Linked DNA regions of Cricetulus griseus. The protein of the gene in region 1 purifies or fractionates together with the protein of each later gene. This does not show direct contact. Links are inferred from orthologs where the notes say so. Each region holds a gene or a part of one and is shown on either strand. Other genes may lie near its edges. The genes, in order: Rtn4 and NADH-cytochrome b5 reductase 3.

What was found.
Region 2: the proteins of Rtn4 (region 1) and NADH-cytochrome b5 reductase 3 purify together in Homo sapiens (affinity purification with mass spectrometry; 3 studies listed by BioGRID and IntAct, counting the BioPlex papers as one, with this or other methods). This does not show direct contact. The link is inferred for Cricetulus griseus from reciprocal best matches to the Homo sapiens genes RTN4 and CYB5R3.

Annotation. Positions count from the first base shown.
Region 1 is NW_023276807.1:77,575,895-77,583,522, reverse strand, and holds the start of Rtn4 (reticulon-4), read left to right. Parts: upstream 1-2,748; 5' UTR 2,749-2,998; coding exon 2,999-3,563; intron 3,564-7,628. UniProt on the Homo sapiens protein: Required to induce the formation and stabilization of endoplasmic reticulum (ER) tubules. They regulate membrane morphogenesis in the ER by promoting tubular ER production.
Region 2 is NC_048595.1:380,062,271-380,069,566, forward strand, and holds the start of NADH-cytochrome b5 reductase 3, read right to left. Parts: upstream 4,047-7,296; 5' UTR 3,912-4,046; coding exon 3,891-3,911; intron 1-3,890. UniProt on the Homo sapiens protein: Catalyzes the reduction of two molecules of cytochrome b5 using NADH as the electron donor.

The DNA.
Region 1 (7,628 bases):
AGTTTATTATTGGGTGGAAGAGTGAGAGGGGGAGAGAGAGAAATGGAAGAACAGAGCAGGGCACAGAGAGAGAGAGAGAGAGAGAGAGGGAGGGAGGGAGGGAGGGAGAGAGAGACAGAGAGAGAGAGAGAGAGAGAGGAGAGAGAGAGAGAGAGAGAGAGAGGAGAGAGAGAGAGAGAGACAGAGAGAGAGAGAAAGAGAGAGACAGAGAGAGAGAGAGAGAGAGAGAGAGAGAGAGAGAGAGAGAGAGAGGTCAACCACCGGGGAGAGAGAGGAGAATAATTCTGCGGGTTTATAAAGGGAAGGTCGCATGTGCACTGAGTCCCTACATAGCCCAGTAATGAGTGACATAGCCATGATGTGGCCACGAAACACAGGCCCTTTAAGCTGCCTAGATATCTGCCTGAACCTTTCAATGTCGACAGGAATACATCCATCCATCAAGGGGCATACAAGATACAAGGCAAATAGCCTTTCCACAAGGGGCATACAAGCTACAAGGCAAATAGCTTTTCCACAAAAGTTTAGGTATCAAACATCTTGCAACAGTATTTAATATTATAGAACTGGAATGGCCTATTTTCTGAGTAGTGACCTTTTAACTGGAATTACATCTGCTTTGTTTGGTGCTGATACAGAGTACACACCCAATGCATATTTTTGTAGGAATCAACAAAACAAAATAGAAACATAAAATGCATGTTTCAATTAATTTCTGTTGTGTAATGAATCACCTAAAAAAGGCAGTGGTTTAAAAAAAACAGTGATTCATTATTTTTTATTTATATTGGCTGTACATTCTGGGATGAACTCACATTTTTGAGAGAACAGCACCATGGCTGGAATAGTTAGGTGTCTTTTTCATGTGTCTCTCTTATTTTCCAGAATAAATACTGCCAGATGGTTTTAAAAGAACATTTCTTTAAAGATCTGTTTTATGTGTATGAGTGTTATGCTGTGTGCATGTATGTGTACCATGCAGGTGCCTTGCTCCTGAGGTCATAAGAGGGCTTTGGATAAGCTGGAACTGGAGTTATGGACAGTTGGGAATTACCATGTGTGTGTTGAAACTTGAACTCGGGCCCTCTGCAACAGCAATAAATGCTCTTAACTAGTCGTCTTTCTAGCTCCATTAAATTTTTATTATTGTTATTTTTTAAAGAGAGAGAGTGTGCGTGTCACGTGTACAGTTTCTGGAGAAGGCTATTAGAGGGTGAAGGAGCCCCTATAACTGAAGTTACAGTGATTATGAGCGGCTTGGGTGCTGGGAACAGAACTCAGATCCTGTGAAAAAGTTGAAGGTATTGCTGGGCCATTTCTCAAGTTCCTTCCTCCATCAATTATGTTTCAGTACTTAAATCTAGGGTAACCTTAATTTGTTGGGATTAAGAATTTGCTTAAAAAACCAACAATTTCTCCATGACAAACACATGTCTTAATCACTAGAATATGCATCTAAAGGTTCTACAAGCTGCTTCAAAAAGAATACAAGTGAATTTGATAATGGATTGCAGTATATTCAAGATATTATGAATGCCAACATAAAACCAATGTGAAGCAGAGATTACAACACTTCTTGTTATGAATTCTGGAGATGCAGTGTGTATTTTATTCACACAGCACACCTCATTTCGGTGCTCAGTACCTAAAGCAGCCAGTCATTAAAGTACACAGTGCACATGTAGATGGAACAATTGGAATACCGGCAATCCTCTCTCCAGGCCTCCAGAGTAGACATGCAGCCACTATTTTTGAAAGGTGTATCAGAAAGATAAAAGGACTCTCTGAACCTCTGGGTACTATTTCTTCTATGTTCTTCAACCATTTTCTCACTTGGGGTCGGGGGAAGTACATGGCGGGGGCGGGGATGGAGGAGGGGAATGGACAAGCTTTTCCAGCATGTCAAGCCACTGAGTGTAGTAGGGCTTCCTGACTCCCCGAAGCCTGACTCATCTGAGATGTTGACTCATCAGCCTAAGGTGACTGAAGAGCAGTCAACCAATTTTGCCTTCCATGGCATCTATTTCTACGTTCCTCCCGGTACCCCTTCTGGGTGACTCATTCTCCTAGCACTTTAAGAGTCCAGCAGAAAGCAAGCCCAAAAGCCCTCTTTGGAAGAGCATTCTAGCAGTGAGCCCCAGAGTCCCAGATAATCTTCCACAGCTGTTTTGCCTAGCTCATTCCAGGCCTGCAGTTTAGAAGGGGAGTGAACTTGAACTGTCAAAACAGTGTTTTTATATTTTTCCTTTCGAGGTGGTGGTAGTTATGATTTGGGAGCTTGTTTGAAAATAAACCTTTTATTTTAAAAATCTGTAGGGCCTACTTCAGTCTTATTAGTACCTTTCTCCACTGTCGTTTTCCTTTTCGGGGGCGGGGAGGACTTTCCACTCCTAGGTCCCCAGGATAACGCCCTTCAGCTGGTTTATTGGAAAACTCTCCAAATCCTGGGGCCGCGCCCATCCCCTTTCGCAGTACCCATAGACTAAAATCCAGCTGTAGGCAAGGCCAGGACCCCACCCCACTCCGCATCTACTAGAGGTAGGGGTGGAGCCTAGCTCCAAAACCCGCCCTCCGAACGTCGCCCGCAGGAGAGGAAGTGCGGCAGGCCCCGCCCGCTCCTTCTATTTCTATTGGACAGGCCTTCTGTCCATCTTCTCTATCCCGCAGCCCATTGGCTCTCTGTCTCCCGCGCCAGCCAGCCACCCCTCCCCGCCGGGAAGGTGAGTCACGCCAAACTGGGCGGGGAGTCTGCTGGCCTCTCTTCTTCGCTCGTCTGGGCGGCGGCGACTGCTGTAACTGGGGACGGGGCGGGTGGCGCATCTCGGGCGTGGAGGCAGGAGACGTCTCATTGTTCGGGGAGCCGTCGCCTCTGCAGGTTCCTCGCTCGTCCTGCCCGGCCCCTGTCAGTCCTGCCCAACCCCCACAACCGCCCGCGGCTGTGAGGAGAAGCGGCCCGGCAGCGGCAGTAGCTGCAGCATCATCTCGGACCGGCCCAGCCATGGAAGACCTAGACCAGTCGCCTCTGGTCTCCTCGACCGCGGACAGCCCGTCCCGGCCTCCTCCTCCTCCCGCCTTCAAGTACCAGTTCGTGACGGAGCCCGAGGACGAAGAGGACGAGGAGGAGGAGGAGGACGAGGAGGACGAGGACGAGGACCTGGAGGAGCTGGAGGTGCTGGAGAGGAAGCCGGCCGCCGGGCTGTCCGCCGCTCCGGTGCCACCCGCCGCCGCCGCGCCGTTGCTGGACTTGGGGAGCGACTCTGTGCCCCCGGCGCCCCGTGGGCCGCTGCTGGCCGCGCCCCCTGCTGCCCCTGAGCGGCAGCCGTCCTGGGAGCGGAGCCCCGCGGCTCCCGCGCAGTCCCTGCCTGCCGCTGCCGCAGTCCTGCCCTCCAAGCTCCCCGAGGACGACGAGCCTCCGGCGCGGCCTCCGCCTCCGCCCCCAGCCGGCGTGAGCCCCCTGGCTGAGCCCGCCGCGCCCCCTTCCACGCCGGCCGCGCCCAAGCGCAGGGGCTCGGGCTCAGTGGGTGAGTGTCGCGGCGCGCCAGCCCCCACGCCCCTCCCTCTTGGTATGTTGAGCCGGGGAGGGAAGGGGGGCGCGGGCAGGGCTGCCTCGGGACCCGAGGGGCTTTGTCTGCGAGCGGCAGGGCGATGGCGCCCCCGCAGGCGGGAGGAAGGCAGAAGGGTGGGGCGGCCGCGGAAGCCCGGGCGCCTTCATTGTCTGTCCGGGTTTCGGGGAGCACGTGCACCCCGCCAAGCCCCTAGTTCTTCCTTCTGGTCCCCATTCCATCGCTCTCCCGAAGGAGGCACAGCCACTATCGGCAGCTAGGTGTGTATCGAGGAACTAGGGTTGTGGATTCCTTGGGCTGGGCTGGCCTTGGATGTGGGAATGGGAAGGCTACGTACGGCGTCTAACCCTTTTATTTAAAGCAGGGGCCTTTGCCGACCGCCCTACAGTCTCTCCGAGGCTTGCCTTCCTGCCTGGCGTCGGGAGACCCTTGACACTGATCCCCTCCCCCTCTTACTGGTGGGGAATTGGTTGAGCTACTAACGTCTATACTGCGATCCAACTGCAGTGAAGGGAGAGCGCCTCCAGTGGCGTGGTTCCAGGAGAATTGGATAGCAGAGACTTTGGGTGAAGTTCTGCCCCCGCCCAGCTCATTTGGGTGTAATGTGGCAACTCCTCCATTGAGCCAGGGAAACGAGATCTGGGCATTGTGTTCCGATGGGGCGCAGTTCTCCAGGGCCTCTGTTGCACGGTAGAACAAATCTCCAAATGTTAATGTGCATCTCTCAGCCTTTAAATGTATCGCAATTGACTCTTAGAGAAAAGGCAAAATGGTTGACCATAAATAGGGGAAGCCTGTGGATTCCTGGTCAGGAATTGGTTTATTGAACTTGTGGTAGATTTTTCCTGACACATAATGAGATGTTTTGAAACAGTGTTTCAAATATTGGTTAGAAGTGCTAGTTTTTGGAAATACATGATTTAGATTGACAAAATACAGGTTTGTAGTTTTCCAGATATTGTATATTATGTTTTTAAATTTTTAAAAGGAACATTGTTTTAAAAATCTTACTGTTTTGGGACGTAGTGTTTTGCTAGCAGTAAGATCTTTCTTTGTAAGTTAATGTCAAAAATTAAGTGGTGTAACTGGGAAAATTTCACAACATTGCAAAATTTGGGAAGTGGTTCATTTCCTAGAAAAATACCATCCTGAGTGAGCTCACATTATTTTTTTTTCTTTCTTTTAATTGCAATTAACTCTCACAATGGGAAGAATGAACCAATAGGGATGTTTCTGGGTAATAATTCATTATGGGCATACTCCAAGGCACTATTCAAAAACAATATTTAGAAGGTAAAGACTACCATAGCTTGCCCATCTTTAACCTTTTTTTTTTTTTTTGAGGGAAACTAAAGTAGAAAAAATAAAGTACTGGAAGCATAATGATTGCCAAAACCACAAACCACAATTATCATCTTCTCTACCTGTATGGGAGCAAGAGAATAGCGCTATCCTGTGAACACTGAGGGAACTCAGGAAACGACAACATTTTTTTGAAATCTTGACTGCTAAAATATTAAGTTTAGAAGACAAAGGAGAGAATATTGCCTACTCAGGGATTTTGTACTAATTGTATTTATTTGGAAACTTCCATTTCTTTTATTGAACAGTGGATGTGGTCATTGATGGTTAATCATTTCAGTGCATCTAGATTTCTTACTGCACTGAAGAGATTGTTCATTGCCTGGTGCCATTACTGATCCCTACCATTGGTTACCAGGGACACTTTCTTAACCTTACTAAGCACTATTCTAGGCTGCTAAGATGTGGCAGTAAGCAAGACCCATGATTCCCTCATGGGAGGAATACACATAATAAACATAAAAAGGAGCTAAAAATGATAGTGTTATGATAACACTTTTAAGGAATGAGAATAACTGAAGCAGGGCTGTGGTGGTGCATGCCTTTAGTCCCAGCACTCAGGAGGCAGAGGCAGGCGGATCTCTGAGTTCGAGACTGGCCTGGTCTACAAGAGCTAGTTCCAGGATAGCCTCCAAAGCCACAGAAAAACCAAAGAGAGAGAGAGAGGGAGAGAGAGAAAGAGAGAGAGACACACACAGAGAGAGACAGACAGAGAGAGAGAATAACTGAAATATGTGAGGGCCTTTTAAAGTATGCTTGATGATAGGAAAAAGAACTGGAGGTTTGAGCAGCAGAGACAAATTGTGAATGAATTCTCAGGGCAAAGATTCCCCTAGGCAGGACTGAGCTTGTTTATCAAGTCCATTAGTGAGGAAACTGGTGGAGTGCAGAGGTGGTAACTGCACTCAGGTAATTCAGAGCCTCCCAGGCCGTGCTAAAATGTGTGGCTTTAAAAAATTGTTATTTTAGGAGTGCATTATGTTGTGATTTTGGAGCAAAAAAATGTTGTTTTGAAGGTTCAGAGGGAGAAAGTTAGTGAGAAAAAAGACAAGGATGTAAGAAATGTTGGCTACATGGTTAGAAATAAACTGGAAGAGGGGCTATAGATCTCTAGCACCTATGGGTTTAAGTTCGATGTTTACATTCATTTTTAGTTAATTCCGATTTCCTTTAGTTAAAATTTTTCTGATTGCTGTTGTGCAGAGTTATCTCTATTGTAACGTAGTGACTGATACTGAGACCTGCACCTTTCACTTGATGACCATTTGTCTTGGAGAAATATGAGACTTCCTGTTGGAAGAATGGTTCCTTTGTTCTAAGGAACCTTAGAGACTGATTTGAGAGAACAGCAAACATCAGTTAAGATGACTAAGCTGATCTCTAGACACATTGGTAATGGGAGTGACTGAAAGTGTGTGATAAATTGATTTGAATTCTGAAGGGTATTGAATGCAAAATAAAAGAATCTGGATTTTATTATCCTGCTTTAATATTCTGCCATTCAAAGCTGCTGCTATATCATGACACTAAAATTGTTCTTCAAAAAAAAGAATAGGGTGTGTCTGTGTACAGGTGTCAGGAATGAGGAGAGGGCATTTGTATTGAGTATAGTCTTTTGATGTTGGTACTCTGTGTTGTTTAGTTTCAAAAGAAAAGAGATTTGTTAAGCTTCTAGTTAAGGAGGTTTCAAGGCATGGCATTGCCATCAGCCTGGCTGTGGTAAAAACCTTATGGTAGGTGTTACCACGGTGGTGAGAGCCCATACTAGAGGCCCACAACTCCATGGTGGGACAGGAAATGTGGGAGGAGGCAGAAACCAGTCTAGGTCTTTTATGACCATCATTTTGTGAGAACTCAAGGTTACACTAGAACGACTTCCTTCATTCTTCCTGAATAGTCCTCCAAATCACAACCACTTCCTAGTAGGCTGGTCTCTTTTTTGACTCTGTGGCCCCATGTTCAATAGTGAAGCCAATACTGAGCCATCTCCAGCTTCCGCCACTTTTAATATTAATGTAAATTAATTTATTTTGTGACTTGGGATCCTTCTACCTCATCCTGGAATTACAGGGTTGGGCAGAAAGGCTTCTAGCTGTGATCCCCACTTCTTAAAAGTCCCATTATCTACTGACATAGCCACATGGGAGCCAAGCTTTCTACAGTATTTTTCTTTCAAAGAGCTGCTTTTATATGAATGAAATATGTATTTATGTGTACACATACAAAAAATTGTGAATAATGACAGAAAAATATCTTTTCCCCAGCCTTTCTTTGTTACTATTTTTTCCTTTGTTTTTCCCTTTGGAGTTGAGGGCTGAACCCAGGGTCCCTTCATCAGCTTTTCTAAGTTGGACTCTTGCAGATTGCACATATGTTAGAAGTTTCTTGGGTACCTGTCTAGAAGAATAGAGTTCTTCTGAGGAAAAGCATTCATACATGTGTATCTTTTTCACTTTGTACTAAAGCATCTACAGAGGTTTTGGTACACAGCTTAGTTGTAGAGCATTGCCTCAAGGATTCCAGGGCAGGGGGTTGATTTCCAGTATTGCAAAAAACAACAACAAAAAAATCAAACACACTACCACCCACACATCTCAAGTAATCAAACAAGACAATTAGCTGCAGAGGATTCCGTAAATATATGGCACAGTAATTCTCTCTGTCATCTCTCTGAATTCACTTTTCATGAGTTTAATGACTTGA
Region 2 (7,296 bases), on another chromosome or scaffold:
GCCACATCCCCATTTAACAAAGGAGGCTCACAGAGGTCCAACATGGAGTTCAGATTTGGTTCCATGTGTGGGCCAACCAACAATCCTCACTCATCCTAAACCCACCAATGCTGGACAGTTTTGAGGGCAGTGTCTTTGTAGACACTCCTGTGTCAGGACTCTGGGTAGGTCCCTGAACATAAGCTAGGGTCCCCACACAGTCCCTCCACCAGCCTTGGGTTCAGAATGGTCCACCTCTCCTGTCTCCAGGTAACTTAGGGTTGCTTGGTCACCACTATCCCAGCACTTGGTGCAGGAGGCACTCAGCAAATATCTGTGCAATTACCGAAAGGACAACAACATCCTTCTCTCCTGATCCTTCAGGTTTCTCTGGCTTCTTGTGTTGTCTAGAAAGTTCCAGAACCAGGACAAAAGCCAAGACTGCTCCCTAATGAGAGAAGGGTTCAGTCTATTCTATTTCCCTTACAGACCTTAGGCTTAGCACAGGCTATGGAGGGAGCCAGACCATCTGCCCCTAGCCCTGGAGCATGCTCAGAAGGTACGGGTTTCAGGAGCCAGGACCAGTCTCCTGGCTGTTCCCAACAGGCACTGCCCTCTTACCTCAACCCTCAGGCTGCATCTGGGAGGTGCTATCATCACTCCCAACTCAGGTAAGAAAACAGGTGCTTCAGTGACAAGCCTGAGTCCAGGGTTACTTCTGGACACTGAGAAGTGAGAGGTAAACCTTTTCTAATATAAAAATTCCTGTCGGGCATTGGTGTCACATGCCTTTAATCCCAGCACTTGGGAGGCAGAGGCAGTCGGATCTCTGTGAGTTCGAGACCAGCCTGGTCTGCAGAGCAAGTGCCAGGATAGGCTCCAAAACTACACAGAGAAACCCTGTCTTGAAAAACAAAAACAAAAACAAAAAACAAAAACAACAAAAAAATTCCTATCTAGAAAGGTAGCTGTGACAAGCCATCCTAGCTGCTATTCATTCAGCCAACAGCTTCAGCAGGCACTCCTGTGTATGTGTGCGGTCCAGGCCTAAACCCCATGCTCAAGGAGCTCAAACTAGAAGGGGAGACAGACCCAGTCACAGGAGAGCTGAACCAAGGCCAGGAGCAGTAGAGTGAATGCTTGATCTCTAAAGTCAGAAGCTCAACCAGACTCACTCACCAGAAGGCTGGGTGTATTGTATCCTCACTGGCATAGAGTAAACAGGTGTCCCCATCCCTCCATGGCACCACCCTTGTCCCAGCAGCAGTGGCCAAGTAAACAGGAGGCAGTTGGCTGAGGCCAAGTCACTGCCCCAGTTCCTCCCAGCTGTATGAACACACACACACACACACACACACACACACACACACACACACACACACACACACACACACACCATCGTACTCCAACTAGTTACAAGTCCATGGGGGCAGCTGCTTCCCAGACCTTGACCCTCGGGTCATACCATGTACCAAGAAACCAGCCCCTTCTTCTCCTTGCTCTGAAAGAAAAGAAGGATAAAGGAAACTGGGTGCCAGGACCCAGGAGGGAGCCCTGAACTCACTTACCATCATAGCTAACAGGTGCACAGCCTGCTCTCCACCCAAAGGACACCCTGCCTGGCTGCTCTCTGGCATTTTTCCCTCTAGGACCCTGGAATCCAGTCTGTCCAGGTTGAATCAAGAGAGTGGGCAAAGAGCCCAGTCCCGGTCTCCCTCCAGGTGCCAGCTCCCTAACTTGGGGCTTCAATAAACCAGTCATCAACTCACTTACCTGCCCACCACCCACTCGTCAGCTGTCCTGCCAGATCAAGTGACCAGCCCTCCTGGTCTTGTTCTAAGTGGGAGGAAGTAGGAAGAAATAGAGGAAGTCCAGAAGCAGGGGGGCTTTGGGCTGGACTCCAGATTATGGGGGAAGGGAGCCCAGGAGAAGGAACATGTGGATAATTGAGCCACCCTCTGTTGATTCTAAACTACCAACCAGGCTCAGGGTTGCTGAGCCAGTGGGAAGGCCTCATCTACAAGAGTAATAGGTCTGTCAGGGCTTGCTGGAACTCACGGACAGGCAGAGAGGCAGTCCAGATCAGCAGGCTAAGCATGCAATGTTTTCCACTTGGAGAGCTGCCTTGAGTGCCATCCTCTGGGATGGAGCCCCCAATATATGCAGGAGGCCTCCCACAGGGCCTGCATGGCCCAGATAAGACATCTGGTACACCCAATGCCCAGCAGCCACCCACAGAGCACATGGCCTCCAGGACAAGAGGCTGGATTGTGTATACTGTGGGCACTGGGGACTAAGTGGGACCCCAGTTGGTCCCATAAGTCAAGGACAATAGCAAGCAACCCTTGGACAAATGAGGCCAGGTTGGGGTGGTTTTCTGATAATTAGACAGAGATCTGCTGTCTGCAAGGAACTACTGTTGACTTAACATGAATGGATACAACAGCCAGGTGCTGGGGTGCTGTGATTAAACCCCCCAAAAATGGTCCAGAAGGTAAAGAGAGCCTGGAAAGCAGGGGAGAGCAAGGGGACCAAGGGCAGTCTTTGGGGAAACTGGTCAGAATGTCATTGTGGGGTGATGTCACTTTGGAGTGATGCCACAGGCTTGCCTTGGGCCAGGCTGCTCCTTGAATGGACCATCCTGAATTGGCCACTCTCTCAAGAGCAAATGCCAGGCCAAGAAGACAGTTGCCTGTCTTCACCAAAAGTCTTGGATCTCAAAGAGAGAACACCCTCCAAGATAGGTGCTGGCCTAACTTTCCCACATCCAAAGAGCTGGGCACCTCAAGGCCAGGATGTGTTTATGCAGTTGGGGCTGGGCACACTTTATATGGACACTCTTAAGAAATCAGGGAGGTAGGGGGGTCTGGAGAGATGGCTCATTGATTAAGAGCACTGCCTGCTTTTCCAAAGGTCCTGAGTTCAATTCCCAGCAACCACATAATGGCTCATGACCCTGTAATGAGATCTGGTGCCCTCTTCTGGCCATGCAGGCAAAACAATGTATACATAATAAATGAATAAATCCAAAAAAAAAGGAAAGAAAAACAAACAAGGGAGAGGAGGTGGTCTCCAGAGTTGCCAAGGAGGCCCCCAGAGTTGCAGCAAGAGGGCAGATTTATAAATATTAGAAGGACCCAGCATCCTAAGTGGCCAAGTCTAATGACACTTTAGTGACAGCATAGTTGTGTGACAGGTGGCCAAGTCTAAGTGATACTTCATTGACAGCAGAGCTATGTGAGTAACAGGAATAGCCAAGGCCTGCCTGCGTGTGACAGCAGAAAGTGACAGACAGCATGAAAGATCATGGCCTTGTTTATGGCAGGAAGATGCACCCAATCCCTGATCTAGAGATATCCTACACACTTCACCCATGCACACATGCACCCCAAAGTACTCTGGCCCATGCCAGCTCACACGTGTCCACTATTCACACATGCGTGTCTTTACACTCACACCTTCATTTTCTACACACACACACACACACACACACACACACACACACACACACCGTACCTATTGGTTCCTCCACGAACACACCTGTGCACTTACAGTCACAGTGCACGTTCACAAAACCCTCACCTGTACACTCGTACAGACACGCATTTCACATTCTCAGTCGCTCCAACTTTCTCGCTCTCACAAGTCACGTCCATTCACGCGGTCACACACGTCACTCGTTCCCTGTCACGGTCGTGCACACCCAGGAGGGTCCCCCAAGGTCCGCCCCGCACCCGGGTCCCTCTCTGGCCTGCGGCAGGGCCGGCATGGCGCGGCCACTAGCCAGGGTGTGAGTCACGGTAAGCAAGGGGCCGGGTGGGGCGCAGTGTGCCTGAACGGATGCTGGGTGTCCCGGATCGTTTCGTGTCCCCACGGTGCGCGCCTGGTGACCCCAGACCCCTACCACCTACCGTGCTCAGCTGGGACCCCATGGTGGTGGAGAAGGCAGTCGCTGCGTGGTTCTACACCCGCTACTCGGCCGGCCGCTCCCCCAATGACCCACCCCAGCCGCAACACCTCGGAGGCGGGGCGGCTGTGCGGAGCCAGTCAGGAGCGCCATGGTGGGCGGGTCGGGGCGGAGCCACCAGTTTCCCCGCCCACCACTTCCGTCCTGAGAACATAGGAGTGCGTTCTGAGTGGCTGACAGCACTGCACGGAAGGGGCTCGGCGGGACCCCTGCTGTGGCGCGGCTGTGTGGCATCGGGCGGTAACTTGTCGCCTCTGGACCTGTTTTGTCCCGCTGAAGAGAACAAGATGGCGCCCCCATGATAGGCTCTCAAATCCTGAACCTTCGGTCCTGGAGGCCTGCAGAAGCTAGCTGTGCTGGCCGGGTCTCAAATCCGCGCTCCAGGGTGTGTTGCCAACACTGCTGGCCACCGAGTTCAGGCCACAACCCTGCCCCTGCCCCCTGCCCCACTTCAAGCCTTTGAACTGGTTGCTCTCTCCTGAACAAATTCCCCAATTTGTACTGAGGTCCGGATTAAAGTTCAGGTGTTACCTCTTCAAGCAGGCCGCCTCTGACCCTACGCTCCCTGGAGGAACCCCGATGCTGTAGAGTGGTCTTTGTAGCGCTTAAGTTATCCCACCTGTTCATTCACGATGCTCTGCGTCCTCATACCCATCGTGCTGGACTGTGGGCTTCCCCAGATCAGGACTCTGCAGTCAGCCCCCCTGTGTGCCTGGAACCCAGAACAGAGTCTATAAATGATCAATAGTGGGGAAGTGAATGCGTCCCTGATATTTCGGAATACTCTTCAGCGTGGTACTGGCCAGATAGAGAAGGATAGACCACTTTGAAAGCATCCAGAACCTGCAGAGCCTGGAGGTGAGAATAAAGTGGGGAGAGGCAGGAGGTGGGAGAGGCTGAGACAGGTGATATGAGACCCTCAGTGATATGAGACCCAGATGAGCATAAGAGTTCAGAGGGCAGGAGTGAGAAGGGGACTTGCTGCATAAAATAGGGAACGAGGGCTTGCCGTGGCTACCCATGTATTCAATACCAGAAGAGGCAGGTGGATCCGTGTGAGTTCCAGGCTACACAGTAAGACTTTATTAGTTACTTTTTTGTTGCTGTGATAAAACACCATGACCAAAGGCAACTTTAGGAGTTTATTTTAGCTTACAGTTCCAGAGGGGTAAGACTCCATTACGGTGGGGAGGCATGGCCACAAGCAGCAGGCAAGCATGGCCGGAGGAGTCAGATGCTGAGAGAGAACTTCTGGACCTTAAAGATAACCAAGAGAGACAACTGGAAGTAGGGCCAGTCTTATAAGCTCTCAGGTCCCACCCCCAGTGTGACAGAACTTCCTCCAGCAAGACCACATCTCCTAACCCTCCCTGGATAGCAACACAAATTGGGACCAAGTCTTCAAATGCCCGGGCTTATAAGGGGCACTTCTTATCCAACCCACCACAGAAACCCTGTCGCAAATAATAAAACGAATAAATAAAGATCGAACTATGGCTGGCAGATCTGCAATTCCAGAATTTGGATGGGGGAGGCAGGAGGATAAGGGATTCAAGGTTATCCTTGGTTACACACGGAATCGAGGTTAGCCTATGCTTCATGAGACCCTGCCTCAAAGAAACAAACATGGGAGGGTCAGCTACTACCCTGGACTATGAGGGCAGATCGGACGTCAGTTAAGTATGTTCTCCTTTTAATCTCAGCACTTATGAGTATCACAAACCCAAGGCAGTCTGTTCTAGAGTAAGACCTTGTCACAAAGGGGGCAAGAGTGTACATGTGGGGGGGCTCTTCTTACTCCTCAAAGTAAGTAGACTGGGAAGTGTGTCCTGGAGACTAGTGTGTACTGGAGACTAGAACTGTGGTCCTCACAGCATAGCAAGCACTGTTCCTTCTTATCCTTTGTGCCATCTCCCCAGTCCTCACTGTTGCCTTCCTTAGGGTCATTATTGACTGTCCATCTCTTCTATCTGGCTGAACTTCTTCATAGTTGTTTCTCTTCCTGAGGGTAACATGGGTCACAAGTCACAGTCAACTTCCCTTACTGAGGCATCTCTCTCTGCTATTTCAGAACCTGTCTGCACTCATACTTCAACCCACTGGCAATATTTTTTCTTTTTTTCTAGTGGAAAGGTGTTTGGAGACAGGTTTCTCTATGTAACAGCTCTGCCTGTCCTGGAACTTTCTTTGTAGACCAGGCTGGCCTCCAACCCACAGAGATCCACATTTCTTTGCCTCGCAAGTGCTGGGATCAAAGGCGTGCGCCACCACTGCCTGGCACCTCTCCTGATATTTCTATGGAAGCTGGAAAGGGAACTGGATATCACATCATACTAGCACAGCACCCAGACTAGCTGTGTGACCTAAAGGCCATGTTGACTCATGACCTGAGGCAACAGAGCTGATATCAAAGTGGAGAACAGTGGAAGTTGATGCAAAAATCTGGACAGGTCTTGTCAGCTTGGGGGAGGGAAGAGGCATGTGGTCAGGAAAGTCACTGTGGCCACAGGACTGCAGAGAGGAAGAGTCACAGGTTGGAGATATGACTCAGAAGTTAAGAGCACAGGCCACTCTTCCAGAGGAGTAGAGTTCAGTTACCAGTACTTCCAACCGCCTTAACTCTAGGTCTAGGGCAGTGGTTCTCAACCTGTGCATCTCAACCCCTAATGACCATCAGAAAGCACAGACATTTACATTATGGATTCATAACAGTAGCAAAATTACAATTATGAAGTAGCAACAAAAATAATTTTATGATTGGGGTCACACACGAGGAACTGTATTTTGTTCTGTTGAGGTTTGGTTTTTCGAGAAGACACGGTTTCTCTTTGTGGCTTTGGAGCCTGCCATGGAATTCACTCAGTAGACCAGACTGGCCTTGAACTCAGAGATCCACCTGCCTCTGCTTCCCAAGTGCTGTAATTAACTGAGTGCACCACCACCATGGCTTTTTCTCTTTCTATGCAGATTGGTCTTCTGTCTATCCTAGACTTTTAATTCATCCCCTGGATGACCACCAGTATCCCTGTTACAGTTCTTTGGTGGTTTGGGTTTATTTTTTACAATTTTTTATTACTTTTTTTTTCTTTTTGAGACAGGGTCTCTCACTAAATAGCCCCAACTAGCCTGGAACTCACTTGTAGCCCAAGCTGGCCTTGCCCGTGCAGCACTCCTCCAGAATATAAGGAATTGCAAACCTGCTGCTGTACCCAGTGTCAGTTGCTCATGCTTCTCCTGCCAGTTCTGCTTTCAGGAAGCCTGCTGCGCTTACTTGGCAGGTCTCTTTCTGCCTCCTTTTATCTGGTGGCAGATAAAATCGGGAACTGTGCAGTGTCAGCTTTCTCCACCGT